4 linked regions of the Lepisosteus oculatus genome follow. The protein of the gene in region 2 purifies or fractionates together with the protein of the main gene of each other region. This does not show direct contact. Links are inferred from orthologs where the notes say so. Each region holds a gene or a part of one and is shown on either strand. Other genes may lie near its edges. The genes, in order: srrm1, srpk2, clasrp and ddx46.

The links.
Region 1: the proteins of srpk2 (region 2) and srrm1 purify together in Homo sapiens (affinity purification with mass spectrometry; 3 studies listed by BioGRID and IntAct, with this or other methods). This does not show direct contact. The link is inferred for Lepisosteus oculatus from reciprocal best matches to the Homo sapiens genes SRPK2 and SRRM1.
Region 3: the proteins of srpk2 (region 2) and clasrp purify together in Homo sapiens (affinity purification with mass spectrometry; 3 studies listed by BioGRID and IntAct, with this or other methods). This does not show direct contact. The link is inferred for Lepisosteus oculatus from reciprocal best matches to the Homo sapiens genes SRPK2 and CLASRP.
Region 4: the proteins of srpk2 (region 2) and ddx46 purify together in Homo sapiens (affinity purification with mass spectrometry; 4 studies listed by BioGRID and IntAct, with this or other methods). This does not show direct contact. The link is inferred for Lepisosteus oculatus from reciprocal best matches to the Homo sapiens genes SRPK2 and DDX46.

What each region holds. Positions count from the first base shown.
Region 1 is NC_090706.1:4,187,418-4,194,259, forward strand, and holds the start of srrm1 (serine/arginine repetitive matrix protein 1), read right to left. Parts: upstream 3,015-6,842; 5' UTR 2,967-3,014; coding exon 2,946-2,966; intron 1,599-2,945; coding exon 1,509-1,598; intron 1,256-1,508; coding exon 1,133-1,255; intron 834-1,132; exon of another isoform or gene 706-833; intron 1-705. Other genes in the region: ncmap (noncompact myelin-associated protein), read right to left, coding at 6,712-6,842. UniProt on the Homo sapiens protein: Part of pre- and post-splicing multiprotein mRNP complexes. As a component of the minor spliceosome, involved in the splicing of U12-type introns in pre-mRNAs. Involved in numerous pre-mRNA processing events.
Region 2 is NC_090702.1:48,123,524-48,131,030, reverse strand, and holds the start of srpk2 (SRSF protein kinase 2), read right to left. Parts: upstream 3,004-7,507; 5' UTR 2,746-3,003; coding exon 2,730-2,745; intron 2,483-2,729; coding exon 2,416-2,482; intron 1-2,415. UniProt on the Homo sapiens protein: Serine/arginine-rich protein-specific kinase which specifically phosphorylates its substrates at serine residues located in regions rich in arginine/serine dipeptides, known as RS domains and is involved in the phosphorylation of SR splicing factors and the regulation of splicing.
Region 3 is NC_090698.1:2,616,282-2,623,798, reverse strand, and holds the start of clasrp (CLK4-associating serine/arginine rich protein), read right to left. Parts: upstream 3,008-7,517; 5' UTR 2,909-3,007; intron 2,292-2,908; 5' UTR 2,176-2,291; exon of another isoform or gene 2,136-2,175; intron 1,927-2,135; exon of another isoform or gene 1,715-1,926; intron 1,699-1,714; exon of another isoform or gene 1,594-1,698; intron 953-1,593; 5' UTR 864-952; coding exon 765-863; intron 144-764; coding exon 46-143; intron 1-45. Other genes in the region: protein jagged-1b, read right to left, coding at 6,842-7,191. UniProt on the Homo sapiens protein: Probably functions as an alternative splicing regulator. May regulate the mRNA splicing of genes such as CLK1. May act by regulating members of the CLK kinase family.
Region 4 is NC_090706.1:23,721,496-23,729,304, forward strand, and holds the start of ddx46 (probable ATP-dependent RNA helicase DDX46), read right to left. Parts: upstream 3,010-7,809; 5' UTR 2,889-3,009; coding exon 2,872-2,888; intron 977-2,871; coding exon 791-976; intron 421-790; coding exon 298-420; intron 76-297; coding exon 1-75. Other genes in the region: guided entry of tail-anchored proteins factor CAMLG, read right to left, coding at 5,200-5,391, 6,249-6,314, 7,279-7,733. UniProt on the Homo sapiens protein: Component of the 17S U2 SnRNP complex of the spliceosome, a large ribonucleoprotein complex that removes introns from transcribed pre-mRNAs.

The sequences.
Region 1 (6,842 bases), on a different chromosome or scaffold from region 2:
GTAATATTGAGCATTCACAAAAGGCAAATACCCTACGTCTGATTTAAAAAATACACTTTGAACCAATGTCAACAATCGGCTTTACATACTGTTTGCATTGACTTTTTTTTTTAAAAAAGCTATTCTGCCTGGCAAGCAAATCAACAAGTCTTAAGCATACCTCAATATGGACCAAAAAAGCAGTGCCTATTTTCACACAAAAAGTCAAAAGGTCAAACAAAAGGCATATTAACTCAAGATATAGAGGGTCTAGGAGCTAGATCAACTTTAGGCAAATGAACACCAATGTCTACATTATCAGTTTGTCTGCATACACGTGAAGAATCATAAATATCACTGCTACTTTTTTTTTTTTTAAAAGACCTTGTCAGCAGGTCTAAATAATCTGACATCAAAAGTGCAGTCAGGCCACTTTCAATGTAGTATTTTTCCTTTCACCAATAAATATAGCAGTATTTCTTTTTACACCATGCACCATGCCCGACAGTGAAGGAGGAAAAAAAGGATGGCTGTCTTCGCCATCAGCCATCATAACTGGAACACAGCAAACCGGAAACAATTCAGGCATACTGCATACAGGTTTTAAAAAGGTATACTGCTACCATCTATAAATATCTAGCCACAGGTAAATGTAGGTGGTTTAGCAGTGTAAGGATCTGTCCAAGTGCTCGTCACTGGAATTTTTGGTCACTTTACACAACTCACCTCCAAACACACACTGCATCATCAAGGGAGTTGGGTCAGAGCGACATTGGACACTCACTCTGCTGTGACCTAATTAGGTGATGGTGCTATACTTCAGACGCAAGGAATAACATCCATATTGGTTCAGGCCTTTTAAATCATAAATCACATCATCATTAGAAAACTGCTGTCAAAGGCACTTTGTTACATATAACAGCAACATTTCTTTCAAATACATATAGCTTCATTTCCTTTCACCTCAGCAGTCAGAACAAAACCTCCTAGAGCAGTAAATTTATATTATAAAAAGTGAATTCTCAACTAGAAAAAATACTCTTCTCTAGTTCTCACACCCACCCACCCGCCTCTTGCACAAAAAAATAAGAACTAGTTCACTGCTTTACAAAACAAGAATCTGAGGAAGAAGAAACTGTTTCGACGGCGTTACCTTTTCCTCCAGCTGGTTGAAAATGAACTCGATGACGACATCGTCCTCGAACCCTAAAATCTCTGTCACTCTTTGAGTTATCCATGGTTTGATGACTTCCAAGTTCACCTTGGTCATATCCACCTGAAAAGAAAGCTGACATTTAGCCACACATCTACAAAACAGTCACCCTACCACAAAATCAAAAATAAACTCAAAAACACTGGAGGACACCTTGTGTCCACAGCCTAAACTGAATCTTGTTTTCTGATCAGAACCGCAAAACAATATATAACTGCAAGCCTATCGCAAGTAGACACCCCAGGTGACCAAGGACGATCCTTTGGGTCTCTAAGAATATTTTGAAACAACAATTAATTAGAAGATGCTCACATACCTTCTTCTCGAGACATTCTGCAAATTTGAGCTGTTTCAAAAGTTTCTTCTGCTTGTTGCTGAAGCGATTGTCTTGCTCCGCACTCGTGCCCTGGTAAGAAAATACAGAAAGACTCTGGTTTTAGGTTTCAGGACAGGCTCACATGAACAATTTCATCTAAGGATAAGATCTGCGCCTGTGGCTGGAAGGTTGCCGGTTCAAATCCCGCAGCCGGCAGAGAAATCCTACTCCGCTGGGCCCCTGAGCAAGGCCCCAACTGCTCCAGGGGTGCTGTACAACGGCTGACCCTGCACTATGACCCCCAGCTTCTCTCCCTGTCTGTGTCTCATGGAGAGCAAGCTGGGGTAGGTGAAAATACAAATTCCTAAAGCAAGAAATTGTTGTTGTTATTATTAACAACAAAAGGTTACAATGAAACCTACAAGTCTTCGTAGCAGCCATATCATTTACTAAACCAGAATATCTGCTAAACTCCGGGAGGGATCTCTGAATAAGGCCATCAAGTTGAAAAGCTCTTCAGGCTGCTGGTAACAGTATAAGACAATGACTAGTGAAGGACGAGCCCAGTTACATTTTTTTTTAAAAGTTTGAGCTCCCCAAACTCACTGGGTCTGTCAGCATTTCGCACACATCGTGAGGCGTGACAGATTTGGTTAAGAGCAGCTTTTTAAAAAAAAACCCGAGGTTATCACACGACTCTCAAGCAATATTCCTCCACATGTGAGCGTGTACTTCAAAGGTGACTTTCCCTCGTCACTTCCCAACACCTCAGTCCCCAAGGAGCGAACAGGCACGGCGAGGCGAAGCCAGAGAAAGTTGTCTTTTCTCCAGAAGACGCGGTAGACGTTGCCGCACAGGTCAAGACGCTTAAATACCCGATCGCGTTTTGTCTTCTCCGTTATAGGCCGCTGAGGGTTTTTTTTTTCCAGCACACAAGATTAAGAAAAAAACAACAACTCCTGAACTCAACATTTCTCCGCAGCCACACGAACACAACGTTTGAAGGATCTGGGCATAGTCTATTCAAACGAGCCCTGCACCCTGGCTGACTGCTTGTCGACACAGGCCTTACACGGGCTCTGAAGGTTTTTTTTTTTTAAAGATTAACAAGTACAGAAAGAACATCCTCAAAAACGATGTGCGCGTTTATTAATTGCACCCCCAACACAACACGAGACAATACAGATTCCAATTCATTTTCAACGAATGATTTTGATCCCCGGTTGAATTCACATACAGCCGCCATTTTTATTCTCCCATTGCATGTCGTTGCTCCGGGATGGCGCATGAAGTACACAAGGAAAAAAAAAATGCTCCTGGATAAGCCACGCTTTTGGCTCCGGAAACCGAGCCGAGGGGACGCCTAGGCTGCAATAAGGAGAACAATAAACTCGAAATTCCATTTTTTTTTTAGCCAAAAAGAAGACATGTACTTACGCGGAAAAAACCCGCGTCCATCTTCTGCCGAAATGTGCAATGTGTCTCTGAAAGAAAAATGCCCACGACTCCCACAATGCAATGCAGGAAGAAGCCCCCCCCCTTCGTGTAGGACCATAAATAACCACCAGGCGGCGTAACTTTATTGATGCGTTTACACCTCAGGCACTGGAGCTCGGCTCTCCGCGGAACTTTTAAACAGCAGGTTCAAGGCGCCTCAACACATTTAACACCGTCGTTTGCAAATCCAAACAAAACTCTCAAGAGTCCAAAACTCCCGGGCAAACCTATCAAGGAGCGCCAATTGCTCTGAAACGTGGCCATCAGCTGTTTTAAAGTTGAACGCCTAAACGACTCCATAACACCACCGTTACAGTTATTATTTGACAGATGGAAGGTTCACTGCAAATATCACTAAAATGTTCCAAAACGTGATTTTTTTTTTACAAAACTAAATGTCGATATTCCCATGAGTTCACCCTCAACAGACTGATAGCAATGCAGGTATGAACAGGCAGGTCTGTGAAGGTTATTTGCGCTCCATACACAAAATCACTCTGCTTTGAGTGTGTTACAAACTTGTCAATGTGCTGAAGATGATGCATTACTTTCCAGCATCATGATATACAAAACAATCAAATCGTGTTGTAGTGGGATGAGGACTCCCTGAAGACCATGAGCCTCACAGCTCGGAGCAGCAGTGTGAGTCACGGTGTAGCAGCAGAGCTCCAGAACTAATGGCAAATTGGTAGATCTTTTATTAACAGGTTCACAAGACGATGCCAATGATGAGGGATGACGTATGAATCGTGATTCCCTCTGTGTATGTCTGTGCCTACACTCTGGGTTCCACAGTCATACAGTTCCAGTGCAGCAGATGCTGTCAGAAACCCCTGATGTTTACCCAGGTGTCCTCACTGCTCAGATCCTCCATGAGTTTAAATCAGACTTCAATCTTCCCACAGAAAATAATCTTTTAATGCTACATTGGTTTCCGTATTTACATAATCATCCAGAGCTTTGTCACATACTTTATAGCAGGTATAACTTGTCTAACATCACCCAGACACAGCACATGATTTTAAATGACAGGATGTTTTGTTTCTAGAAAAAGACAAATGTGGGGGGAAAGGAGTTAAGAATTTTGGAATTCATTTTGGAAAGCCATGTTTTTTGTAGTCCGTGGAGTACAGAGATCCTACCTGGACATTGAACAATTGTAGTTTTCCCCAATAATAAAGGATTAACTGGAAGTCCTCAGCTCTTATAAATCTAGCCAATAACTAGAATTATTTTTTGTTAGATTTGAAATATTCCACCCCAACCTGTTGGGAATCTCTGATGGTTAGTCAATATGGCTCATTTCCGCCACCCTTTGTACTAGCATGGAGGAGAGGAGGCCATCTCTGTCTCCCTGAAACATGCACTGATCCTGAGCTGTCCACTTCTCATTCAGACCCAGCTTTGAGGGGAGTGTCACAGCTCTAAAAAGCTCATTGGCCAACCTGTAAGTCACATGGGCTACTCCTGTGCACCAACCAGGGAAACTGCTGGCCACTCAAGCTCCACCCAGCTGGGCAGGGCTCACTCATGTGCTGCCATTTTGGGAGTTTCATTTACATAAGGTCAAGCATCTACCCTAAATCATACATGGGCTATGATGTCTGGATTAATAGTTCAAATGATAAATCTCTCAAATGTCAGTAAAACAAAAAAGGGAAATACCGATATAGTCGGGAATATAGCATTGGAAGCTGATGCAAAGCAAGACAAGGTTTCTCTTCAAAGGAAGTGGGGATATCAAGCCTTCTAGGACGACAGTTACATATGTAAAGTGTAATTTTTATGACAATATAACGCAATTTCTTTATTATAAAAGCAATATGTTTTCTGAGAGGACGCCATACTTTAAATAAAAGCTCCATTTATTTATTCTTCTTAAAAATTAGGACACAAAACTTCTTACTGTGGCTTATTATTCCAACACCAGCAGAAAGCAAGCATAATTGCTCGACATCAAATCCAGCCTGTTATAGGAACATGTAACACTATCATTGCATAGACATTGATTTCAATTATATATACATATACAGTAAATATTGAATAATTCAGTCTAGTGACATTTCTTGATGCCAGAGAGCAGTTCTGGATACATAACCATGTCAGAAAAATCTCCAGGCTCAAGTTGATCACAAGCAACATCTTGTATTGATGTATAAAGGTTCTTTTTACAGTTATAGCCATGTGCTTTCATTTTAGGTTTACTTATACTGTACCTATGAGTTTCCTTCCTCTTCAAAACACCGGCAAGCATTGCAAGTAAAGTCATTTTTTACAATATCAGGATCACCAGACTTTCACCAGGAAAGCAGGTTGAAACGTTTCCCATTTCATTACAAAAACTGAAAACGTAAATCCTACATAAAGGTCTATATAGATGCAGAACTTCCTCTAAAGCACTTTATTACAGGCTATTGTCACCTGCCTAACGCAGGCCTGAGAAACAGTAGAGAGGACATGATTTGCTTTATTACATGGAAATCAAGGTCATTTCAATTACAAAAAATGAACAAAACATCAACCAGGAAAGAATGCTTCAGCCAGGGGGGGGAGAAAAAGGAGATAAAATCCTTGATTTTGTTGAAAAGGCTCAGATTAAACATCATCTGAATGAAAGGACTTAAACCTTCCTCCAGAGTGCCCCAATACAGTGTAAATTACAGGTTATTAACCTAACCCTAATCCTAAATCGCCTGTTTCTAAGGATTGGGAAGGCCTGTTCATGGTGTTGTCCCACCCTGGGCCCTGTGACTCCAGAATTGACTCCAGTTTGCTGTGACCCTGAACAAGAATAAGCAGTTTTCTGATGGACTGTTGGAATGTTAATATGGTAATTATAAGTTATAGATGAAATAAGCAAGTAATTTGTTCCGTTAAGGCAGATAATTCTGAAACAAATCACTCCTGTGTGTCCAACCTTTTTTCAAAGCCTAAGAGATACAACAGAATCCTAAACTTATTTTAGGGTCTCTTTCTTAACCTAAGAGTGGCAAAAAAACACCAGATTCCAAACAGCGCTGAATGGAGGTTTTTGACCCAAACAATCTTTGCTAACTTGTTAATACTTTTAACACGTGTCTTGCTTAATAGATCACAGTTAATTTATTCTAGGTTCTTCAAAGTTTGTGACATACTGCAGTCGTTACCCAGAAAACCCTGCACCAGGGATGGAGACCCACGGTCTAACTTAGGGCTGAAGCCTTCTGGGTTTCAAAAAGGAAACTGTTTAGCTCAGTAGCATTGCGGTCCAATCGAGACACTGCACACACTGTCTACATACATCCGTTTTAACAATGAGGGCTTTTACAGATCAGAGAAAGGAGAACAATAAAGTTCACAAAACCTAGAAAAGTTCTGTGGTGCCACTTTCTGAGTCCGACACTCATTGACTACTAGTATGCACAACACTTGGATACACAGCCATGGAAACACTGCTGGTGAACACTAGAGTATCATAGCACTTTAGCCCTGTTGCTCACAGGTTTAAAGATTTCAACTCCTGTTTGCCTTCTATTAAGTGTCTGGTTTGCGTCCTTCCAAACAGCATGGGAGTTTTCCAATGCAGTGCTCTCAAGGACAGGACCGAGGACCGAGCAGCTCAGTACTGGCTCAGTTATGAGTGTGTATCCTAAGAACGTAGTAAACTGCACAGTTCCAGTAGACTTCAGACTTGTTCCACGGCTCCACCAGCTTTGCTGCTGAGATGTTATGTGTTCTCCAAGGAAGAGGAGCTGTGCACAGACACCGGAACAGGCTCGGTGTCTGTGGCATAGAGGACAAAGACGTTCTGGTGCATCTCCACCCTAGGGAGTCTAAATTCGTTTTCCGTGATGCCAT
Region 2 (7,507 bases):
CAAGAGCAGAGGAAACGATATGATCAAAGGGGAAAACACATGGGAGTAGAACACTAGTTCGAGCTTCTGCGCAAGAAAACAGGGAATCGTGAATCCGCATAATTTAATTCACCCTGGCGTGCCGCTTGGGAAACAAGTTCTGAATAGACAGAACTTTATATTCCGAAAGGGATGCCATCCCACATCCACAACACACTTCCAAGAAAATAATTGCCCATAGATAGGTTTGCGAGAAAACCTGAGTGAACTCGTCTTTGCGGTTAATTAACACTTATTACGTGCACAAGCTAAACGAATGCCAACTCCTGTGAGCTGGGACACGGCTATGTGCCCGTGCTACACAGACACTTCAGAATCAAGCAGTTCCTTTTTTTGGGGTCCTCCTGAAGCTTTATTTTTTGCCCATTTTTTCCGGTTGAAAGTTTTAAAAGCCACCTGGCAGGTATCCACTCTTGGAGACTCACCGAGGGGCAGTTTAAAGAAAGGCAAGCGCGCTCGGACCACCAGGACATCGATGACAGCAGCAGACGGCCTCTCCCCCCCCGTCCAGGCCCTGGCCTCCTGGTCACCTACACCTGCCCCCCACACACACACACACACACTCTGCAGTGTCACAGGCGGCTCACTCACCCCGAGCCCCGCTCCCATCCCAGGGGGTGGCGCGCAGGAGGGAAGGAGCTGGCTGGCGCGGGGTGTGGGCGCGCCGGCCCGTGCAGGAAAGACAACTGGACCGGAGCTACAAAGCGCGTCTTTGCAAGAGTTGGTTTCAGAAGGGGTGTAGAGTGTGAGCATGTGTGTGTGGGGGGGTACCGACTGAGAATAATAAGAAGAATAATTCCTCACACTTATATAGCGCTCTTCTGGACACTCCACTCAAAGCGCTTTACAGGTAATGGGGATCCCCTCCACCTCCACCAGTGTGCAGCCCCACCTGGATGATGTGACGGCAGCCATAGTGCGCCAGAACGCTCCCCACACACCAGCTCTCAGTGGGGAGGAGAGCAGAGTGGTGAAGCCAGTTCACAGATGGGGATTATTAGGAGGCCACGACTGGTTAGGGCCAGGGGGAAAATTGGCCAGGACACCGGGGTTACACCCCTACTCTTTTTGAGAAACGCCCTGGGATTTTTAATGACCACAGAGAGTCAGGACCTCGGTTTTTCATGACAGTTCATAACAGGAGAGGAATTTTGTTTCTGTTCTTTAAGGGGAGTAAAGGGGACAACAGAGCAGCCCTGCTCCCTCGCTGCTCCCCGAGGGGGGAATTTCTGCAGGGCCCGCGGGGTTAGGGTTCCTGTCGAATTCTTCCTCCCACCCCGCTGAATCCACTTCGACGGGATTCAAAGAAATTCTCATGGCTTCTACACGTTTTTCGGGTTATCCCGCGCGAAATCAGGAAAGCTGGAGGCAAGCAGACAACCAACAAACAGGCAGATGAAGAGTTCAGGTCGGAGTTCACTTCAGGAGTCGAACTGACAGCCCCCGGGTCGCGCAGAGGCCCGAACAGCGAGGTTCCAGCGAGCAGGATTTGGGAGCCTCTGCACAGACAGACGCTGTGCCCAGGGATCCCGTTCACAAGCCCGTTCTGCCCCAGCCAGCGCCGTGTCAGCCCCGGGTGGGGGTGGGACGCCAGCTCATGACCATGACGTCACCCGGGCTCCCCTGCCCCGGTCCCGCGCGTGGCGGAGCCTCGAGCTGTGCGCGCGCGAGCAGAGCGCCTCTCGCCTCCAGCATCACATCGCTTCGGCACGGCGGCCAGGCGCTCTTGAACGCGGAAGCATTCAGAAACACGGGACCGGCACACCGCTAGAGCTGCTACGTTACCGTCGCTTGCGTATTCAGTGTTTTTTTTTCCGCCCCCACCCAGCCGGTTTTGGGTGAAACTCTCTCTCGCACCTCTCGCACCTCTCGCACCAACGATAGATGTCAACGTCAGTCAATTCTCGTCTTGCAGCAGCGGAGCCCTGTACACCCCACCCCCCTCTCCGAACCACCAGCAGGGCAGCAACTCGGCTCGGGGGCTCGAACTGCACATCACCTCACATCACAGCCCGGTCCGGCTCCAGCAGCCCAGCGCCCGGGCGAGGAGGTGGTCTGGGCGGGCTGGCACCAGCGGTAGACGCGGCACAGCCTGTCCCGCCGGCTCCAGAGCCACCGTCCTCCCCCCCCCCCCTTTGGGGCTGCGGATCGTTGCCAATAGCAACTTCCGACACCACGGCCGGGCAGCCCCGGGAAGAGGAGTCGGAGCCGCTACCCCGCTCCCTCCCTCGGCACCCAGGGCACCACGACACCCCCCCCGCTCCGCCATCGCGTCTGTGCGCCGAGTGTGCCAGTGTCAGCTCCCCCTCTCCCGCTGTCAGCGCTGTCAGAGGGGGCGCCTCCGCCGCCGCCCTGCAGCCCCGGACCGCTGCCTACCTCCGCTGATGGGCTGCCTTGTCCTTCTTCCCCTTCGGCCGCCGCTTGCGGGCCTGGATGGCCAGCACTGCGGTGGGGATCGCGGGAGGGCGACCCGGGAGCCAGGCAGAAGCAGGGGAGGGAGAGAGAGAGAGAGAGAGACGGACAGACAAGAGCGACACATCAGTTTGCCGGTTTCAAAAGCATCGCCCGCCCTCCGCACCGCCGCCACCACCGCCGTGTGGAGCGCACAAACACACCCGAGCCCCCCGAACCTGCCCCCCCAGCCCGGCCCAGGACGCCCGAGGCTTTGCGTAAGAAAGACAGCCGGTTACCCTTCCGAGAGCTCATGTTGGTATCCTTCTCCACCTCGGCGAAGGCGGCCGGGATCTCTCTCTCCGTCCGTCTCTCTCTTCCCTTCACCGCCTCTCTCGGGGATGCGCGCTCCCCCGGCCGTCGTCGGGAGGCGCGCACCCTCCTCCCAGCCAGACAGGGGGGACTCGGGGGCGCGCTCCGCTGTCAAGACCCAGCGTCGCGGGCGCGCGCAGGCTTACCTGAGCCGAGGCAGGTGCAGCGGGAGAGAGAGCAGCGGTTGGTTGTTTTGGGCGCGCGTCCCCGGCGCGAGGTGACGGGTGAGGTGATCGTTGTGGCCCGCAAAACAAAAACGATGACGCAGGCAGGTCAGTTACTCGTGGTAACGGCGACCCGCGCGCCGAACGGTTAGTCTCCGCGGTCCGAAAACAGCGGTTCACACCACAGTCTTGGATTTAACCGCAAAGTGAATATATGAAAAAAAAAAATAGAGCAGTATTCCCGTTTTGTGTTGCCATGTGATCTCCAATATTTACAAAAGGTCCCGTGCTCCGAGATTGTATTTCAATTAATGTAGCTCTGGAAGTCCAGGAACAATTGAAAATAAATGAATAAAGTGTAATGTGCTGTTTGTGATTAAAATATTGCGCGGTATTACTCTAATTTACTGCATCGTTGTGTTGAGGGCGGTGTATTGGATTTTTAATTTCTATAGTTCGTGAGAGTACAGCGGTGAGGACAGATTTTGAGGTGTAGTTGTGCTGAATCATTGTATACACTGCACGACCTGAACTAAGCTTAATAAAGGTCAGAGTAACAACACAATACAGTGAGGATTCAACGTCTGTCTTTTATCCGACAATAACTAGGAAGCCACGCACTGAGGGAATACTAGTTCTTGTGGTTTTAAAGAGATTCGAGCTCCCAAACAAAAGACATCCAAGAAGATTAACAGTTCTAATCCATCAAAAGGAGATACAATTGTTTCCTTTCTTTCCCATTCACTTTTCTTCCGCGGAAAGCTAACACAGAGTGCCAAAAGGCATACACTCTCCACATAAAGGCCTTTAAAAGTGTGTGGGAGTCTCTGAAATCGGGCATCTGTATTGTTTCAGGATTTATATTTATCATTTTGTTCTACCTTTTAAACCTTTAAACTTGTGGTCCTGACTAAGCTCTCATTATAGGGCAATTGTAAGAGCTGTGGACAAATTCGGTTCTGTGGCTGCACGATCCTGTCTCCTTCAAGTGCCTCTTTCCTTCAGTTGGTGAACCTGTTTCTACCTGCCGCCCTGTGTGTACCTGGGGCTGCTGGGACAAAATGGGAGCTGCACATCACCCAGGTGAGGCAGCACTTCAGGGGTGAAAGAAGTGGGTCTCTGCTTTGGGATGAAGAACTCAGCACACATGTAGTTGTATTTATTATTATTATTATTATTATTATTATTATTATTATTATTATTATTATTATTATTATTATTATTATTATTATTAAAAGGAGAAGAAGGGGTGTTTTGTTTCTTTTTGTTTTGTATCCCTCAGGCTACTTTAATGTAATGCCCATCTGAATAATCATCATCATCATCATCATCATCATCCTTATTATTATATTGTGCCTTTAACCGTATCTTTTCAAAGCACTTTAGGGGAACAGTAAAAAAACAGATAACACAAATGAAAACAGCAACAAAGGAGATAACAAAATTAGCACAAAGCAACACAAGGGATTAGAAATGCAGTAGAAGACGCCATTAGCAAACACAGACACCAATTCAATACAAGCCTTTCAATACAAGAAGGTTTTGAGTCTGGACTTCAGCATTGCTATCCTTGGGGATAGATTTCCAAAGCTGTGGGGCGTAGCAGAAGGACTTGTCAACTGTGGAGTGTAAACGCGCTTGGGGAAGAAAGGGGAGACCAGAATCAGATGAACGAAGATTTCGAGGTGGGGAGTAGGAAGATAATAAATCGGACAGGTACTGAGGTGCCAAGTCATGCAGAGCCCTCTAGGTGAGCAGGAGGATTTTGAAGTCGACACGAAACCTGCCAGGAAGCCAGTGCAAGGCCTCCAGGACAGGAGTAATGTGATCACTTGCACGCAACCAGGTCAAACTTCCAGGTGCTGAATTCTGGACATACCAAAGTATGTTTGGTGTGGATCTAGACACCTCAGTGAGTAGGGAGCTGCAGTTATCATTTCTGCAAAAAATGAATGTGTTAACCAGCTTTGCTGTTAATTTAGAGACAAAAAATAAAATGTGTTCTGGCAATATTTCTAAGATGGAAGAATGATATATTTACAATATTTTGCGCATGTATGTCAAAGGTCAACAACCCCAAATTCTTTTTTTTTTTTACTGAGATTCAAGCACAATGCCGTCCACATGTAGGGTTACTGAATTGGCCCTGGATACAGTAGTTGAGGTGCTGATAAGAATCACTTCAGTCTTGTTGCAGTTTAAATGAAGAAAACTTTGGGTCATCCAGTATTTTATGTCAGAGCTGCAATTAGAGAGCACAGAGACAGCTGCTTCAGTGTCATGTTTAGGCTGCACGTAGATTTGAGTATCCACTAGTTAAGAAATGATCATTCTGACCATGTGATTTTAAAAAGTGACCAAGCAAGAAGACCTAACTGCAAAACAGTAGGTAAAAATGCTGCATATTACAGTATAAATTGGTCCAGACATCAGTTGCTTTGGATAAGCACATTACTCAAGTGAATTAATAAAAATATTATTGTAGCATAGTGCAGGGTTATTACAATAGCCCGCTTTCCAGTCTTACTGCATTCTATTGTATTATTGCTGCCCACGGCAATTCGGCTATTAAAAATAATCATAATGTTGTCATGGAAAAAAATGACTTCATATCAGGCAATTCAGCAGAGCTAGTAATAACAGTTCAGACAAGGCGTGCACTCACTCGGTCCTTCCCTCATTGATAAGATGAAGCTGTGTAGCTCAGAATAATTCCTGAAAATGAGCTCAGATTGTGTAGTTTGGCTGAGCCACGTGGCATGAGTTTTCTGTCCCAGCCCAGCCAGTATTCCCTCTGTGCCAGGCCTCCTAGTTATTGTCGGATGAAACTGTGACCTGGGAGTGTTATCTGGTTGCAGTTCTGCACAGTGCTGTCCTCTCATAGGGTCATTCTGTCCACCACGTAAATGGCCTCTGTCCGGGGAAATTAGAAGTATTTAAATTTCCTCTAAAGGCTTTGACAGAAGTCCGTGCCGGGTCTTGTGGTAGACCCTATGCGATGCGGTAAGAGCTGGAGAAAACAGCAGGCGTGGTAAAAGGGAACACACAGGGGTTTAATAGTGCACAATAATAGTGACAGTCCGTGAGACAGTGAACGGGGGAGACAAAGAACGGCATCCAAATCAAAACAGGTCCAAAGGCAGGTCAGGGCACAGTCCGGGAGTCCAGCGGCGAGTAATCCATCCTGGGACACGACAAGGTTAAAATCCCTGGAAGGGGGGAACACACGGAGAGACAAGACACAGAGGTCCAAGGGTGACGGGGCGGGATCCTCCAGACCCCGGGCTCAGGAAGCGGGAGGTGTCGGGGATGAGGCCTGTGCCCTCAGGAGACGGATGTAGGGTATCCTGGTGCCAGGGGGCCCTCGTGACATCCGTACCCTAATGTTGAGCCCCGAGGACTGGAGGAGCTGGTCTTTAAGTAATACACATAACAAGATACACCTGGGGAGTTAGCAACAATTACAGGAACAATAACGAGTGGAGCGCCCTCTAGGGAGGGATGTCGGGCGTGACAACAAGTGGAAATACAGATGGAAGTGCATTGAACACAGAGAACTGAGAGTTATAACTTTCTTTACACAAAAGGTTGTGGGAGTATGGAGCAGGATATCCACCCATGTTTTTGAAGCTGATACCCTGGCTTCTTTCAGGAAACAGCTGGATGAGATCCTCGGATCAATTACCTACCTCTCGTTTGTAACCGTTCTTATGTTCGGGAGCTTCGTGAGACAAATACCACCAGACTTCACACGCCGCCTAACCCCCAGCCAGAGCGCATGAGCATGGACGTCATACGCACGATTGCATCAGCTCGGTCCGGCTGGATCAGACACACTCATCGTGCGATCCCAGCCCCTGCGCCCAGTGTGCTTGGTTTTTGTTTTTGGAGTTTCTTGGTAGTCGGCTGACTGAAGACTCTCCCCTGACACCCAGCTCAGAGAGGAAGCAGCCGGACCAGACCTGCGGCTGGGCAAGAACCGAAATGCCAGGGAATGGCAGAGGGGTTGCGGGTTCAGATCCCAAGTGGGGTGCTCCTGTCTTGCCCATGAATGAGGTACTTTGCTCACATCTGCTGTGTAAATGGGTCTTTAGGTCAGATGGTAAAATACATGAATAATGATGAATAATGAAAAGAGAGGGTTACTCAACTCCTTGGTATGTCTGTTGCTGGTATCCTTTGCTACCTGACCTCGGGGACTTTCTCACTACCTTGCATTAATAATAATAATAATAATTGCTTACATTTATAACGCGCTTTTCTGGACACTCCACTCAAAGCACTTTACAGGTAATGGGGACTCCCCTCCACCACCACCAGTGTGCAGCCCCACCTGGATGATGTGACGGCAGCCATAGTGCTCCAGTACACTCCCCACACACCAGCTCTCAGTGGGGAGGAGAGCAGAGTGATGAAGCCAGTTCAGAGAGGGGCATTATTAGGAGGTCTTGACTGGTAAGGACCAGGGGGAAATTTGGCCAGGACACCGGGGTTACACTCCTACTCTTTTTGAGAAACTCCCTGGGATTTTTAATGACCAC
Region 3 (7,517 bases), on a different chromosome or scaffold from region 2:
GGAACTATTGTGGCCTAAGGCAAACAGGAGCAGAGAAGTACTCACATGTTCACTGGACTCTCGGCAGCCAGAGCCACAGCAGAGTCCAAGTGGATCTTGTACGCTCTCCCATGGACCTGCAGGAACTGGGCCGGGTCCTTTTTCTGAAATCACAAGACTCCGGTAACTCTCACAGTAGAGTATAACACTGCCAAACAACTCCCCAAGGGACAAGTGGAAACTAGGGGCTTAAGGGAAAAAAAGTTCCTGCTTTTGAATGTTCCTGAAATCCATTTTTTTTTTACACAGTAATGTTCCCGTTAATAATAATAATAATAATAATAATAATAATAATAATAATTGCTCACACTTATATAGCGCTTTTTCTGGACACTCCACTCAAAGCGCTTTACAGGTAATGGGGATCCCCTCCACCACCACCAAGCTAAGTGTACAACAGTACTACCTGCCGGGCATTACTGCACCCCCGCCAGTGCCTTCAGACGAGTCAGATTACATCACTCCCATGTGGTTAATTAATCATTTATCATCAATCTATCCCTGTTCTGCATAAACTACCCAACATGTTGCTTAATCAAACATTTGTCTGGTTGTTTTCTGAATGAAAGCCCCTGAGAAGACCAGGTGGAAAACACCAGCGCCTCGGGCAGGGGCAGGGCGAGCGCCAGCCGCGACCGGGCAGGGGCAGCTGGCCGCCCACAGGGCGGCTCCTGGGGGCCGCGGGCCAAGGCCCCGCTCCTCGGGCACGCCGACGGCTCGCTCACGATTTTCTCGTAGTACTCGCGCCGCCGCTCCGCCCGCCGCTTGTAATCCACCATCATGCCGCGCAGCTTGCGCTCATGCTTGCGGGCTTCGTGCCACATCCTGGCGCCGGGGCGGCCAAGCCCTGCTGCCGTGGAGACGGGAGGAGCCGGAGAGGCAGTCCGAGGGCAGCAGGAATCCCACAACACACCTGCACAGGGAGAAAGGATGCTGGGGGTGAAAAGGAGGCACAGTCTGCTGAGGGCCAAGGTGTTCTGGGCTCTGCCCCTGGGGCCACTGCAAGACAGCTGGCCGGGAGCAGGGGGTATTCATCTGCCCTCGGCCCAGGAGCCACAGGGCCTTGTCCAGGTCCTGAAATCAACCTCCTGTTCTCACAAATGTAGGCTTCCGGCAATAAGAGTTTACCGGTTCCTTAAAAGGTTGTAGCAGGGCGGAGCTGGTGGCTGCCCATGTGACCGCTATCACTTTTTAAGGGCTGCTTGCTCTTCACCGCTCTCCAGCCGCCCGCTCAGCCTTGCTCACGGCTTCTCGGGGGCTGAGCGGTTTCCCCTGGGGAATACAGCTGCCTACAATGGCGGCCGCACCCGGAGGAATGTGTCCGCGACACTCCTCATACTGCTCGCCTCTCTCCCTTCTCATGGGGGTTCCCGTCTAATCCCTGGCAAAACACACGAACGAAGCAGCGACACATCCAACACAGCCCCCGCGCAAGGGACTCTCCTAATCGCTCCTGTCCCTCCCTGATATGCAATCTCATCTACTGCTTTTGCTTAAAAATGGCATGATTAGAAACGCCTGCTTCGAATTCTTGCCCTAATAACATTTACTCACTTCGAACAGAAGTAATTTAAGGAATGCGGCGATAAATATTACAATTCCCCAACTGTTTATCTGTTTTTGTGGAATAAATAACAGCTGCGACCCCGGATCCCAATGGCGCCTGCACACGTACGAAATGTAGTCTTCTTCCTCCAACGTCTATGTTCCTTGAAAGGATTTTGGTTATGCTTGTCTGTAAGATATTTCGGGTCTTTCGATTTTTACCACCGGATATTCTTTGGTGTAAGATTTACAGAGTGCAATTAAATATATAAACACGTCGAACAGCCGTAACTGCACCCGAACTCCGATCGGGAGGCCATCACAACACACAGTCCTCCGGTATCCCGGCAACCACTTCCGAGGTCAAAGAGCAATGAGAGCGGAAGTGGAGGAAAGGGTGAACGGGAGTTGTGGTTTTAATATTTTTGGTGTATTTGAACAGAACTGCGGAGCTCGTTAATATTTTACCCTGCCTCCAAATGACACCAAACTGGTCCATTTCGGATATTATTGTGCACTCTAAGGAGAACATGACGTTATGCATCACATACCTGTGGCCACACGGATAGTAAATCACGGAATCACGCACACCCGCAGCCACGTGTCAGGCTGTTTCGTTGCGAAGCTGGACGCGGAAGCGAGCTCGTACAACCCGAGCTCCAGCAGGCGGCGGTGCAGGCTCTCGAACGAAAATGTATTGGAAGAATCTGTGTAAACAATCCGTTATGATATATTATTTCTCTTTCCCCTTTTGTCTTCTTTAATACTATTTAACCCGAAGCTTCAGTTAGATGTAGTTCTGTATTCTCCAGCACTGCGTGTTTGCAGCAGGAAACAGTACTGAACTCCGGAACAACACGACAAAGTCGGATTATGGGACACGAAGTTTATTCCATGCTGAAAAGAGGAGACAAGAAACACAACGTTTCGGCCGTGGAGGTGTGAGAAAGAGGATGGACTTTCTCTAAACGTTGTTTCTTTTCTTCCCTTTCCAGCATGGAATAAACCTTTACTTGTTCCCTTGCAGCCAACACATGCTGACGCAGCTCCCTACTTGAACTACTCACGGGACAAGACACGACAGTCTCCTGGGCTACGCCTTCTGTTTTTGTGTCTCTTTATTTTCTTAGCGGTATTTTCTCTTTCGCTGTGGCAGAATTGACGGGCGTGTTCTAAGCTACGGTTCCAGCCCTCGGTCTGTGGGGAAGTTTTAACACCCCTGGCTTTGCAGGAGCGCAGCGTCAGCTGGTGCCCGTCCCACCTGAGCACCAGCTCTAACCGATGACTTAACCGATCTGCTTCGTTGTTTAGATTTTTAACTTACTTCTTCGGTCAGTCCTGAGGGCCAAATACACCAAACTTCAAGTGTACTTTTCCCAGCAGCTTCAGGATACCGGCCTGTACGAAGGTTGGAACGACAGCGTATCAGACGGTTCGCCTTCTGCAGAGTCCAACTGGTCACATTCCAGGCAGCACACCGGAATCAGGGCTGTTCTGAAATTCACGCTCACTCTTGAGCAATCCCAGCCGTAGGACCTTCAAATGTCCCCAGTGTGGGCAGGGCCTTGGGTCAACAGCCCATGTGAAGTGCGGCCCCTCCTGTGGCACAGCACCCCCATTTGCAATACAGGGGTGCTGGTCTGGAATTTGAAGCAAGTGAGGAGAGAGTACCAGCACACTTCAGGCACTGCTGTACCCCCCCGCCTGCTCTGCGTGGATTTAATAATAACAAATTCTTTACACTTCTATAGCCTCCAGTCAAAGCACTTTACAGGTAATGGGGACTCCTCTTTATCAGTGTGCAGCCCCACTTGGATGATGCACCAGTCCGCTCCCCACACACCAGCTCTCAGTGGGGAGGAGAGCAGAGTGATGATGCCAGTTCAGAGATGGGGATTATTAGGAGGCCATGACTGGTAAATGCCAGGGGGAAATTTGGCCAAGATGCCAGGATAACACCCCTACTCTTTTCGAGAAACGCCCTGGGATTTTTAATGACCACAGGAAGTTAGGACCATGCTTTTACATCTCATGGCGCCTTTTTACAGTCTAGTGTCCCCGTTGCTATACTGGGGCATTAGGACCCACACAGACTGCAGGATGAGCGCCCCCTGCTGGCCCTACTAACACTTCTTGCAGCAGCAGCCTTAGCTTTCCTCGGGAGTCAGTCCCCTCCAGGTACTGACCAGGCTCACACCTGCTGAGCTCCAGTGGGCTGCTGGCTGTGAGCTGCAGGGTGAATCAGCTGCCGCCTGGTCTGGCCCCTCGCTCTCTGCAGCGAGAGCAGCAGGTGTTTCTGGAGCCCCTGTCCAGAGCAGGTTCATCTGAGGGCCTGCGAGGACGTGACTCGGACTCCTGGCAGGCATCTGCAGGCAGACGCTTCCTGCACCTCCCTCAGGACGGGCGGAGAGAGGAAGTTCGCTCATCACCTTTCCTGGTCGGCAGGGAAACCCCTCGCTGCCCACGTCACCTGGACCCCAGGCACTGCCAGCAAGGGCAGGGGTCATTGTAGAAACTCCCTTACAAACTATACCATGACTTAATGACTCATCTGTAGAGGTCTTAGGGAGCAAATTCTTTGGAAACATTGCGCCTTAGTACACCCCCTCGTGCTTCACTGAGCTTTACTGAACAGTTTTTAGCAGGACGAACCACAGGAAACAGCAGTAAGACCTGTCCCCCCATGGTTAAGTTGTTTTAGTGAAGAAAGAGTTCTCCAAAAATAATATATGTAGTGATACAGGCCTTTGTAGGTGTAACCGCCAAAAAAACAAGTGCTTTTTATTTCCTTCTGGCAGTACAAGGGATGCTTGGCAGAAGACAAAGCATAAACAAGGATTTAAGTGAGTCAGTACAAGCACTTCAATTAGTAAGGCCCAGAAGCAGATTGAACTGGTGCTGCTTAGGAAAAGCTTGTCTGTGGCTGGTGCCCCGCCACCTGCTTTTTCCATCTTCCTTGTAGTTAACCCTGGCCAGGGTCCAGGGCTCTCCACTGTGGTTCCCCGTAGTTCACAGCAGCAGCCTGGAGTCTCTCTCGCTCTGTCAGCATGGGGTTGGGGAGATGCCCCCCTGGGGTGGCCTGTCGGGGTCCCAGCACACACAGACACAGGCTGCACTCTTGGTGTTAAACAAGTTTTAATTACTGTTCGCACCGGTTGGCCATCACGAGAGACACAAGGAAAAAGGGCAGAGATGAACCAAAAACTCTCAAAGATTTCACGGTACAAAAATGGTCAATAAAAGACAAAATATAAATATGTACACTATATACAGCTGAACTATTTACAGACAAGTACAAAAATCATACATCTTTTACAAGCATGAACGTGCCGCCTCAAAGGGGACAATATCCTTTTGTCATCTACTAACTACCAAACGAGCTGGATGAGCTAGATTATTTTCCCTTATTAGTAACCTTTCTAGGTTGCTTTTTGCCATTGTCTTCAGCTCCTAAGGGCATTTTCCCAAGGGCAATGGGGTCCTCAGGTTGTCATTCCATCTGAGCAGATAATTAGTTAATTGAACCACTAATTTTTCACTTAACTGAGCGCTTATCCCCAGGCCTAAAGAGAAATAGCAAACCACTGAAACACAGACCAGAAGACACAAGTGGAGCCTATGTGGACCTGGATTTGAAACCGAAAACAGCAGGCGCTTCTTTACGAATTGTGGGAGTGTGGAACAAGCTTCCAGCCACTGACATAGACGCTACCCTGGCTTCCTTCAAGGAACTGCTGGATAAGATCCTCAGGTTAGCTACTAACTTCCAAACAGGCTGGATGAGCTGAGTGGCTCCTCCTGTTTGTGACCAACCTCATATTCTTAACCCCTCAGGGACTGTGGCTCCTTGAGAAACAGAGCTGAGGAACAATCGCAGAAAACCTCCATCAGACAGGACTAAATCACCTCCCCGTTCTCCACCCCACAGCCTCTCAGGGAAGGGGTCAGTCAAACTGGCCAGTGTGTACTGTCCAGCTGTGGTCAAGAGGTCTGTCCTCCAGCCTGTCTTTCCGACACTACAGAAATGTAACTCATGCCCCGATGCAATGAGCTCTTAAGACCCCCGATCAGTAACGCAATCTGGAAGCTGCACTTTGTTAATGTTGGGGTCCCCACTGCACCCCCCGTCACTTCCTCTTCTCTCAGGCGGGGTCACAGGCCCTGTTCAGTGGGACCATAGCCCAGTTCTGGTTCAGAACCTCCAGGGGTCTGGTGAAAGTGGGTGTACAGAGATACAGAGCAGGGAAGGGGTTATGGAGAGCCCACCTGTGCTCAGCAGGATTGGTGGAGGGCAACTGGTCTGGCACAGTGGAGTCGTGTTTGGCCTAGGCTGTAGTTTGATCTGGTGGATGTCTATTGCAAAACCATATCTAACAAAAGTGGCCGAAATATTTCGTTCTCACGCTTTTGACTTATTTGTAAATTAAAATTCAAACGGATTACACACATGTGAAGTAGAGAGTGCTCTTTAGCTGTGTAAAGGGTATAGGAGGGACACATATAGGAGTTGCACTGCAATGTCAAGACACTTCTGACTCAGGTCTGCGCAGCACTGAACTATGTCCCCACAGGACTTTCTCTAGCTTTGCACATTCTCTCCAGAAGGCAAAACACATTGAACAAGACATTTAACAAGCAGAGTATGAATCAGATTTACTGATAACATTGCTGGATGTACTGTATAGATTTCTCTACCCACGCAACAGCTGCTCAGAAGCTTTTATACGAACACCAGGTGCAGCTCTATCGTTAAAGGACCTGTCAAAACACACACATATACACAATATTGCCTTCATTGACATGAGAAACAAACAAAAAAAAAACAACACAATACTTTATTCTTCCAATAAAGGAAATGCGATTAGTTTAACAGCTGGAATGAGAAGTTCAATGCTGACCCTCACATCACTGCCTCCATCAAAAGGAAGGAACCTTCATAGTGGCAACAGGGCAGAGCAGGTGCACCGATACCCAGACACGCCAAAGAGAGGCCTTCTTCTCTCAGGCTCTCAGGCTCTCAGGCTTATGTCAAGAGTTCCAACTCAGGGGGAAAATGCCACAAGGGTTGAGGTGTGGGAGTCAACAGAGCTGTGCAGCAGTTCGCCCCCTCTTGGGCAATCAAGGCTCACGATCTCCAGCCTCCTCAGCAGCCAAACCCTTCACTCCCTTCCCTCGGGGGCCTAGCAAGGCCTGCAAAGCCTGGGAGCACGGGTGGCCGCAGTGGCAGACGGACAGAAGCCGACAGGCGGGGCGGGCCTCACACTTCCACCTCCTGGCTGTCGGAGAAGTGGAAGCGGTTGAGTTTCTCGCGCTCCCGGTTGGAGATGTCGAGCTTGGCGCTGCTCCTCCTGGGCTTCTTGGTTTCTGGGGTGGGCGGCAGGCTCAGCTCAATCTCCTCACGACAGCGGGGCACTGGGGGAGGGCCGCCCAGGTTCCGGATGAGGGTGACGCACTCCCGCTGGTTATTGATGCCCTCGTCCTGCCCGGCGTGCTGGCGCTCCTTCCTGCGCCTCCGGAGCTGAGCCAGCAGGTAGATGCACAGCGTCGTTCCCACTACCAACATGGCCAGCAGGACGACCATCACCACGTACAGAGTGCTCCCGGAGCCTGGCACGGCAGAGGCGCAGAGAGCACCGTCAGGCACAGGCACACACAACCCCCGGTGCCCACAGCCAGACTCCCACACAGAGACAGAGGTGACACCCACACAGGCCGATACACACAACCAACACCCACAGGCCAATATACACACAATTAACGCACACAGGTGATACACACACACTATTAACACACACAGGCGATACACACACAGCTAACACACGCAGGCCGATGCACACACAATCAACACACACAGGCCGATACGCACAATCAACACACACAGGCGATACACACACAGCTAACACACGCAGGCCGATGCACACACAATCAACACA
Region 4 (7,809 bases), on a different chromosome or scaffold from region 2:
TCCTCTTTTTCTTCTTTTATTTTCTTTTTCTCCACAGACGGCTCTGTGCTATCAGACTTCTCCTTACTCTTTGACCTGCAAGAAAAACAGACAGTCTTTCAATGCTGGGCTTGGTACTGAAGCTAGAAATAACTGGAAGACGTCCTATTTTCTTAACGTGTGCTTAGTGTGCAGTACCTTTACTGCATTCTTTCCGATATTTATGGTTTTTGAATGAAACTTTATTTAAAAAGACCTATGCCATTTTTCATAATAGGCGCTGGTTTGAAAAAGAACAATCTGATCCTCGAGTCCTACCCTTCGTCAGTCTTCCTGCTCTTGCTGGGGCTTGAGGAACGTGACCTCCGGCCCCGTGTCCTGCTACAAGACCTCCTCCTGTCTCGGCTGCGGGATCGCCGCCTTTCCCGACTCCTGGAGCGCCTGCAACACACAGAGAAGGAGAGCGCGACTGTCAGAGAGCCTCGCTGCCCCCCGAAAGAGGGGGGGACACGTCAGAGCCGCCCAAAACGATACTTTTCTCTCTACAGACTGGAACTGTCTTGTCATTCACTAACATCATTTTAGGACAAGCTTCTTACAGCTTACTAACTCGCACTCCAAATTCAAAAGAAAGGTGAAAGAAGGACTGAAAGAATCATAATTTAACAGTATCATAAGAGTCTTAAGAATATTGTGTCACCGACTACAGAGAATAATAAACCTAAGCCTTTGAGAGCTCGGAAATGTTTTGGCATTTCAGACAGGGAGACCGTGGCTTGAAGGCCCTGCTTGTCCCAGTGCAGTCACCCACCTCGGACGCTTCCTGTCCCGGGATCGGGAGCGGCGCCGATCACGGCTGCGGGAGCGCTCTCGCCTGCGTTCCCGGTCCCGGCTGCGGGAGCGAGCCCTTTCCTCTCGCTTCGACCTCTTCTCCGGAGACCGGCTCCTGGAGCGGCTGCCGGACCGCCCCCTCGAAGCCGAGTGCTTGCGGTAGTGCCTGGGAAAGACGTTTCACACGCATTGACTGACCCGCTTCATCACATCCCCCTCGGTTCCCCTCATAACTATCTCCAGGTGGCAGTATTATATCTAAGGAACAAGTAATAGTTTTATTCCATGCTGAAAAAAAGAAGAAAGAACACAATGGTTTGGCCGTGGAGCCTTCTTCAGGTGAAGAAGGCTCCATGGCTGAACCATTGTGTTCTCTTTCTTCTTTTTTTCAGCATGGAATAAATCTATTACTTGTTCCTTTGCAGCCTACGCATGCTGACGCAGCTCCCCACCTGAAGTATTATATCTTTATATTAATACATATATAATATAATATATATATATAAAATCCATCATTCTCTTTCCTAAGCACTTCTTCCAAATCAGGGTTGCAGGGGAGCCAAAGGGTATCCCAGCAAGCAACGGGCACAAGGCAGGATACACCCTGAATTGGACGCCAGTCCATCACAAGGCACACACTCAGACCAGGGTTGAATTTCCCAGAAGCCCCTATCTACCAGTTATGTTTGTGGACTATTGGAGGAAACCCACACAAATACAGGTAGAACACTTAAACTCCACACAGATAGCAGCCCAAGTCCAGAATTGAACCCAGGGTCACAGCACTATGAGGCAGTAATGCTGACCACTGCACCATCAAGCCAGACAGTATTATTATTAAACCTTTATATAACCAAACACCCAGCTGAGAATTTCTCAATCTCAATGATGGCCTGGCCAAGAGGAGGCATAAATCATTGCAGCATAGCAAGCAATAAGGAAATATCATATGAATTTTCAATTTTAAAAAAAGAACTTAATTTCTTACATTGTTCCAGGATCATGAATGAATTTGATATAATCAACACCTTTTCATGATTTTGAACACCTAAATCAAGTACCCCGCATACTCTACGCTGATCAAAGCTAATAAAATAAAATATCTTGACCCTTTCAGGTACAACTCCTTAAGAACAGGAATAAGTGTGATTGCTCCCACCAAGAGTGACAATATCTGTTGTAGTTTGGTGACCAAAGCTGAAACCAAAAGAAATCTAACTAATGCACTGTATACCCAGAGGCATTAAAAAGATAACAAATGTTACGGTTTCTAATAAAAATAATTGTACAATCTTAATAGCCAAAACGTAATTTTTAATGCATTCACAGTGTCTAGCTGAAGAAAGTGGCAAGTCACCATTTATCTCGTATTCCTTCCACTACAATAACTTCAAGTTTCCACAGATACGTGCACGTATGCACAATGAAGTAAAATTCCAACACCATTTATTTTTCTGTCTTTGGGTTGATTTAATATAAATTCTCATTCCCTGTAAAGCGCTTTGAGTGGAGTGTCCAGAAAAGAGCTAAATAAATGCAAGCAATTAAATTAAATGCTCAGCGGTTAAATTCAGATCTAGCTGAATGTCTACTTACAAAGATAACATGACAACAAAGCTCATCTACCTTTGGACTACGAAAACAATACAATATAAAGGAGAACCGTGATTTTGATTTTAGAATGTTGTGCTGGGGCTTTCACTCTAATTGTATCGTTCGGTTTGAAGTTCAAGCAATAACCTCATAAATATTGTACGTATTCATTAGCACAACTCTAATCCGATTAGCAAATTCTCAGCTACCACATTCTCTAGCAGCCTGAAACGTTACCTCAGATATCTACAATATAACGTTTTAGAATATATAAAATAATTTGATTTAATAACGCCGCGAACACTTTGATGGAGGGAAAGCAGGTTTAATTTTGAAGCGCTACATATTTTCTTCCCATGTGCGGCCTAAGGCGATCTTTATAAAAAGGCGTACGAATCTGCAGTGACTAAACTTTTCGATGTAAAAATATTCAGATGGTAATAATAAAGACGAACAATGCACACATACCTCGACTCTCTACCCATCTTCTCGTTGTTTTTCTAAGGAAATCAGTAGGTATTGTTCAATTTTGAACTCACTCTTCTTCAGCGCTTTCGTGGTAAATCCCAAACTTCTCTGCGAACCAATAAATGGCCAACATTCAAGATCGTACTTCCGTAATGTTCTCTCTTCCTCCATCCAAACAGCACCCCCCAGCGGCTGGAAGAACCAAATTCATATTGATACCTCCGAAAGAAGACGATCAAAATCCAGTTTCTACTGTTGAACATTTGCCTGCTTTAACTGTACTGTATATTGTATAAAGCTGCACACCGTGATATGTCCTGACCTTAGGAACAGTAAAAACGCTAAACGTCAACAAGATTGTGTTAAGGGTATGTGTGCTGAGAGCTGGGAATGCATAGCGTTGAATTGCTGTCTCACAAGAATCAAGATCTGCACTCACCTTTATTATAAAAGAAATAACGTATCAAATGAAATATGCCATCGCAATTCACTAAATATTCACACCCAGATCATCTATATTCAAACCATTCATGTCCCCTTTATTGTCCACATGAGATACTTAAGGAAATCAAGTTCCAGTGAAAAGAAAACTACAATACGTGACTTAAAATCGAAAAAGTATTTCCCAAATTAAAATGAACAGCTTTTTCTTTGGGAAAACGGAAAGCCGTGTAAAGAAATGTGCTCACCCAATGATTCAAGCTGTCCCTCCAAACAATATATTTGTAAAAATTCTCCTTTTAGCACTTCAAGAAAAAAAGCTTTAGTTCCGTCTTTGATATTTTATTAATTTGTTCAGTTTTCAGTAGTTTTTCCACATTTCAGCAGTAAATGCATCTCACCCAGATGTACAATTTAAATTATGACCAATACATCAATTACACTGTTATGGGTTGATAATCTGGATGATGTATAACCTGGTACATCATAGTTTAAAATTAAAGACCTAAAAAGAATTGCTCTTTAAATTTTAATAACAAAATGGCAGTCAACATTTTTTACCTTGTTTTGTCAAGACAGGGAGGTGATACAATAAAAAAACAAGTATGTGTGGTTACAACATTTAAATGACGGACGAAATAATTTATTGTTAATTTAACCTAAGCATGCCACTAAGACATGGGAGTAGGTCACAGTTCACACAGGTGGCACAGGCAAACATGGAATTTAGCCCATATATACTCTTGCTTGCCCAAACTTTACCACATTCAGAGTACAAAACCACCGATGCATACTGCATGTGTTAAAATGCATGTGTTTTCGGTGTTTACGATGATGTTTCCCTCTTTAAAATAAAATGAACTTTTCACTTGATGCCAATTTAACCAAAAGTACTCATTGACCTCCAAGTAAAAGATGCTTATTTATCATTAACCACAGTTAATTGAAATATCACAGTTGTGATTATTGTAAGCCACTTAAATTGCTGGCGTGGGGATGTCCCACTTAATCAGTGGTGAAAATAAACACAAAACTATTCAAATTAAATGAGATCTAGGTTTGATGATCAGTATCACCTGTGAACTCAATTTTAATGATTAATGAGGCAAAGCACTCAGTGGCTGGGAAGTTAAGGTTAAAACAGCCTTGTTTCACAATAAGCAGAGGTTCCATGTTTTTAACCAAGAAATGGCTAATGACAAATTTAAAGGGACAAAAAAACAAACATTTAAAATCCGGTAACAGTGAACAACCAACACCAAAAATTCAAATACAGCACACAGCTCATACCCTGTTTTCATATTTGGGTACAGAATTGTTAACCCTTGACTTTGTTTCTGCAGTGCACTTCACAGCATTTTGTGCTACTGCATTACTTTCCACCAACATGTTCTTGAGAAGAAGGAGTATAAAGTTTTTAGCTTAAGTGGATATATAAATTCCATAAATTAAAAAAAAGGTTACTAGCAGCAAAATCAAAAGTCAGCTAAATCCAAAAATACACAATGCAGAATAATAAAAAAAAAAATCCTTCAACTATAAGAAACTGGACCCCTTGCTTCTGACCAGAGCGCAAGTAAAACCTAACCATCAGTACATATGGACTGCGGTGCTGTCTTCAGCTACTAGTAAGACAAGCAGAAATTCTGTTATTTCCTGCAATGGTATGGTAGTGCAGAAGACATTTTGCTAACCGTGACCAGGTTAGCGCTCAGGACCAGATCTTTCAAGGACCGGCAGTGTCCATATGTCCATCTTTCCCTGATAGTCAAGGGCCGGACAAGAGGCGGGAAGCGTTGGGAATGTAAGGGGAACAGGGAGGAGGGGTTTCGATTTTATTTCTTCCAAAGCATGGAAGAGCGGAGGGGGGGAGGGGTAAACCAAACATCAGGGAATTTCAGAACCCAGAAGGATGAGGATCTCGTGACACACAATGAACGTGAAGAAATAGACACACAGATCTGTGAAGACGTCCCCCATTTTGCTATAAGTGTCCATGGAACGGTTGATGACCTCTGCGGGGATCCCTGATAGCAGCAGAGCAGCAGTCAACACTGTAGTCTTCATCTTCTTCTCACTCTGAAAGTAAAGAGGACAGAGAATCTATTCACCTTTCTGCAACCAAGAATCCTCAAAGTCACCCCAAGAAAAACAGCTGATTTCTAAAACTCAAGTTGTTGAAGAAGGGGCAGGGTCAGCACTGCTGCTTTGTTTCACTGGGGCCCTGGGTTTAATTCTGGACCTGGGGTGCTATCTGTGTGAATTTTGTATGATCTCCCCCATATTTGTGTGGGTTTCCTCCGGATGCTCTGGTTTCCTCCCACAGTCTGAAGACATACTGGTAGGTTAACTGGATTTTGGAAAATTTGGATCTGGTGTGAGTGTTTGCATACATGTGTCTGTGTGTCAGTGCAATGGACTGGCGTCCCATCCAGGATGCACCCTGTCTTCTGGGACTGGGCTCTGCCTCCCCCACAACCCTGAACTGGAAGAAGCCATTAGAAAATGAATGGATGGATGTTGTTCAATATGGATATCTTATTAAGCAGCTCTTCTATATGGTTTCCTCTCATTTCTGTCCTGCCTAGTAGCCCACGTTTTAAATTAAATCATGAAATATTTGTTCCAATTAAATGTTTTGTGTGCTTTTACAAAAACTACTGCTGATCAAATATACTTTGCTTTTCAAGCCTGTTAAAAATAGTTTCAATGGGAAAAACACTACAAAAAGGACTGTTCTTTCATCATTTTAGATCTGTGTGCTGAAAAGCACAATGCAGGAATATAATTCATAAAACAATACATTTTCCCTGAATTATAAACGCAATACACTTTTCTTGCAAAAAGGGATATAGTATTCTGTTTTCAAAAGCAAATTAATACAGAGCCTAATATCTTACCTACAAACAACCTCTCTTCAAAACCGACACACTCACCTTTGGAAAATACTTGTACAAGCCCATATATGCCAGCTGGAGGGTAAGAAATGGGGCAAATATTGACTGCAAATAAGAGAACAAGAAACCTTTGTTACAACATAATGTCATAAAACCAGTCAACCCACAGCTCACTACTGCAGCTGATTTCCAGAACTTCAAAGCCCTGTCTGAAGAAGGTGGGCAGTCATGAGTTAGTCAGATAGCAGAAGAGCTGTGCTCTAAATAGGAACTCCCAGTGGTGTGATATTAAGCTTAACTACATTATTTTTTGTTGAGAAGCAGACATGAATTCCACCATGCTATACTGGTGTTCGGTCCTGAATAAGTCAACACTCAAGCTCTGACATTTTTAATGCCTCAAGGGTGAAGATAAAATTAAGTTAGGGCATTTTGTCTTCATCAGGGCAACATTACAGTTCTTAATATCTAAATACATAATAAATAATACTTGCACTTATATAGTGCTTTTCTGGACACTCAAACCTTTTTTCAGGTAATGAGGACTCCCCTCCACCACCACCAATGTGCAGCACCACTTGGATGATGCGACAGCAGGTATAGTGCACCAGTACACTCACCACACACCAGCTATTAGTGGTGAGGCCACAACTACTGTTTTCTGAGAAAAACCCTGGGATTTTTAATGACCCTAAAGAGACAGGACCTTGGTTTTATGTCTCATCCAAAAGACAGTGCCTTTTTTTACAGTATAGTGTCCCCGTCACTATATTGGGGCATTAGGACCCACACAGACCGCAGGGTGAGCGTCCCCTACTGGTCCCATGAACACCTCTTCCAGCAGCAACCTTAGCTTTCCCAGCAGGTCTCCCATCCAGGTACTGACCAGGCTCACACCTGCTGAGCTTCAGTGGGTTGCCAGTGGTGAGCCGCAGGGTGTTAAGCCGAAAAACAGATCAAGCCCCAAACCAAAGTGAAGCTTGTTAGCTTTCCTGCAACCAGATCTTTACCAGCTGGAGAGGGAAAGTGATTAAATCAAACAAATCAAAGATCTGCGACACAGACATACCAAATACTTGCAGACAAAGACCCTGACAGTGATGGCTAACATCACGCTCCCGATGAGGCGGAAGACTCGGAAGGCATCTAGCTCCTCTGGGCCCGAGCCGTTTTCCTGAGCCGGCTTCTCGCTGATCAGCTGGCTGCGGAGCTTCATGGCCTCATCGAAGCGCGACAGGTACTGCTGCAGCCCGCGGCGGGGGGAGCGGGGGATGCCGTCGGAGGGGACGTCTGCCCGGGATCTCTGCCGCACCTCCCCAGCGCTTTCGCCCTCGCCGCTGCGGCCCGCGGGGTCCCTGCACTCCCGCAGGGGAGACCCCTGACGCTCAGGCACGTCGCCGTGGTGATTGCTCACCCCCATCTCACTCTGGAAGACTGGAAGTCTCTTGGATTGGGCGGACAGAGACCGCGGCTCTGCTCTGCCATGATCCAAGGGAACTCTGGGCTCCAACGTATGTCTGTCATCTTGTAGAAGATAAGGAATAAAATTATCAAACCACAAATTGGATTCTTTCAGAATGGGATGATAAATTGTAGAAGT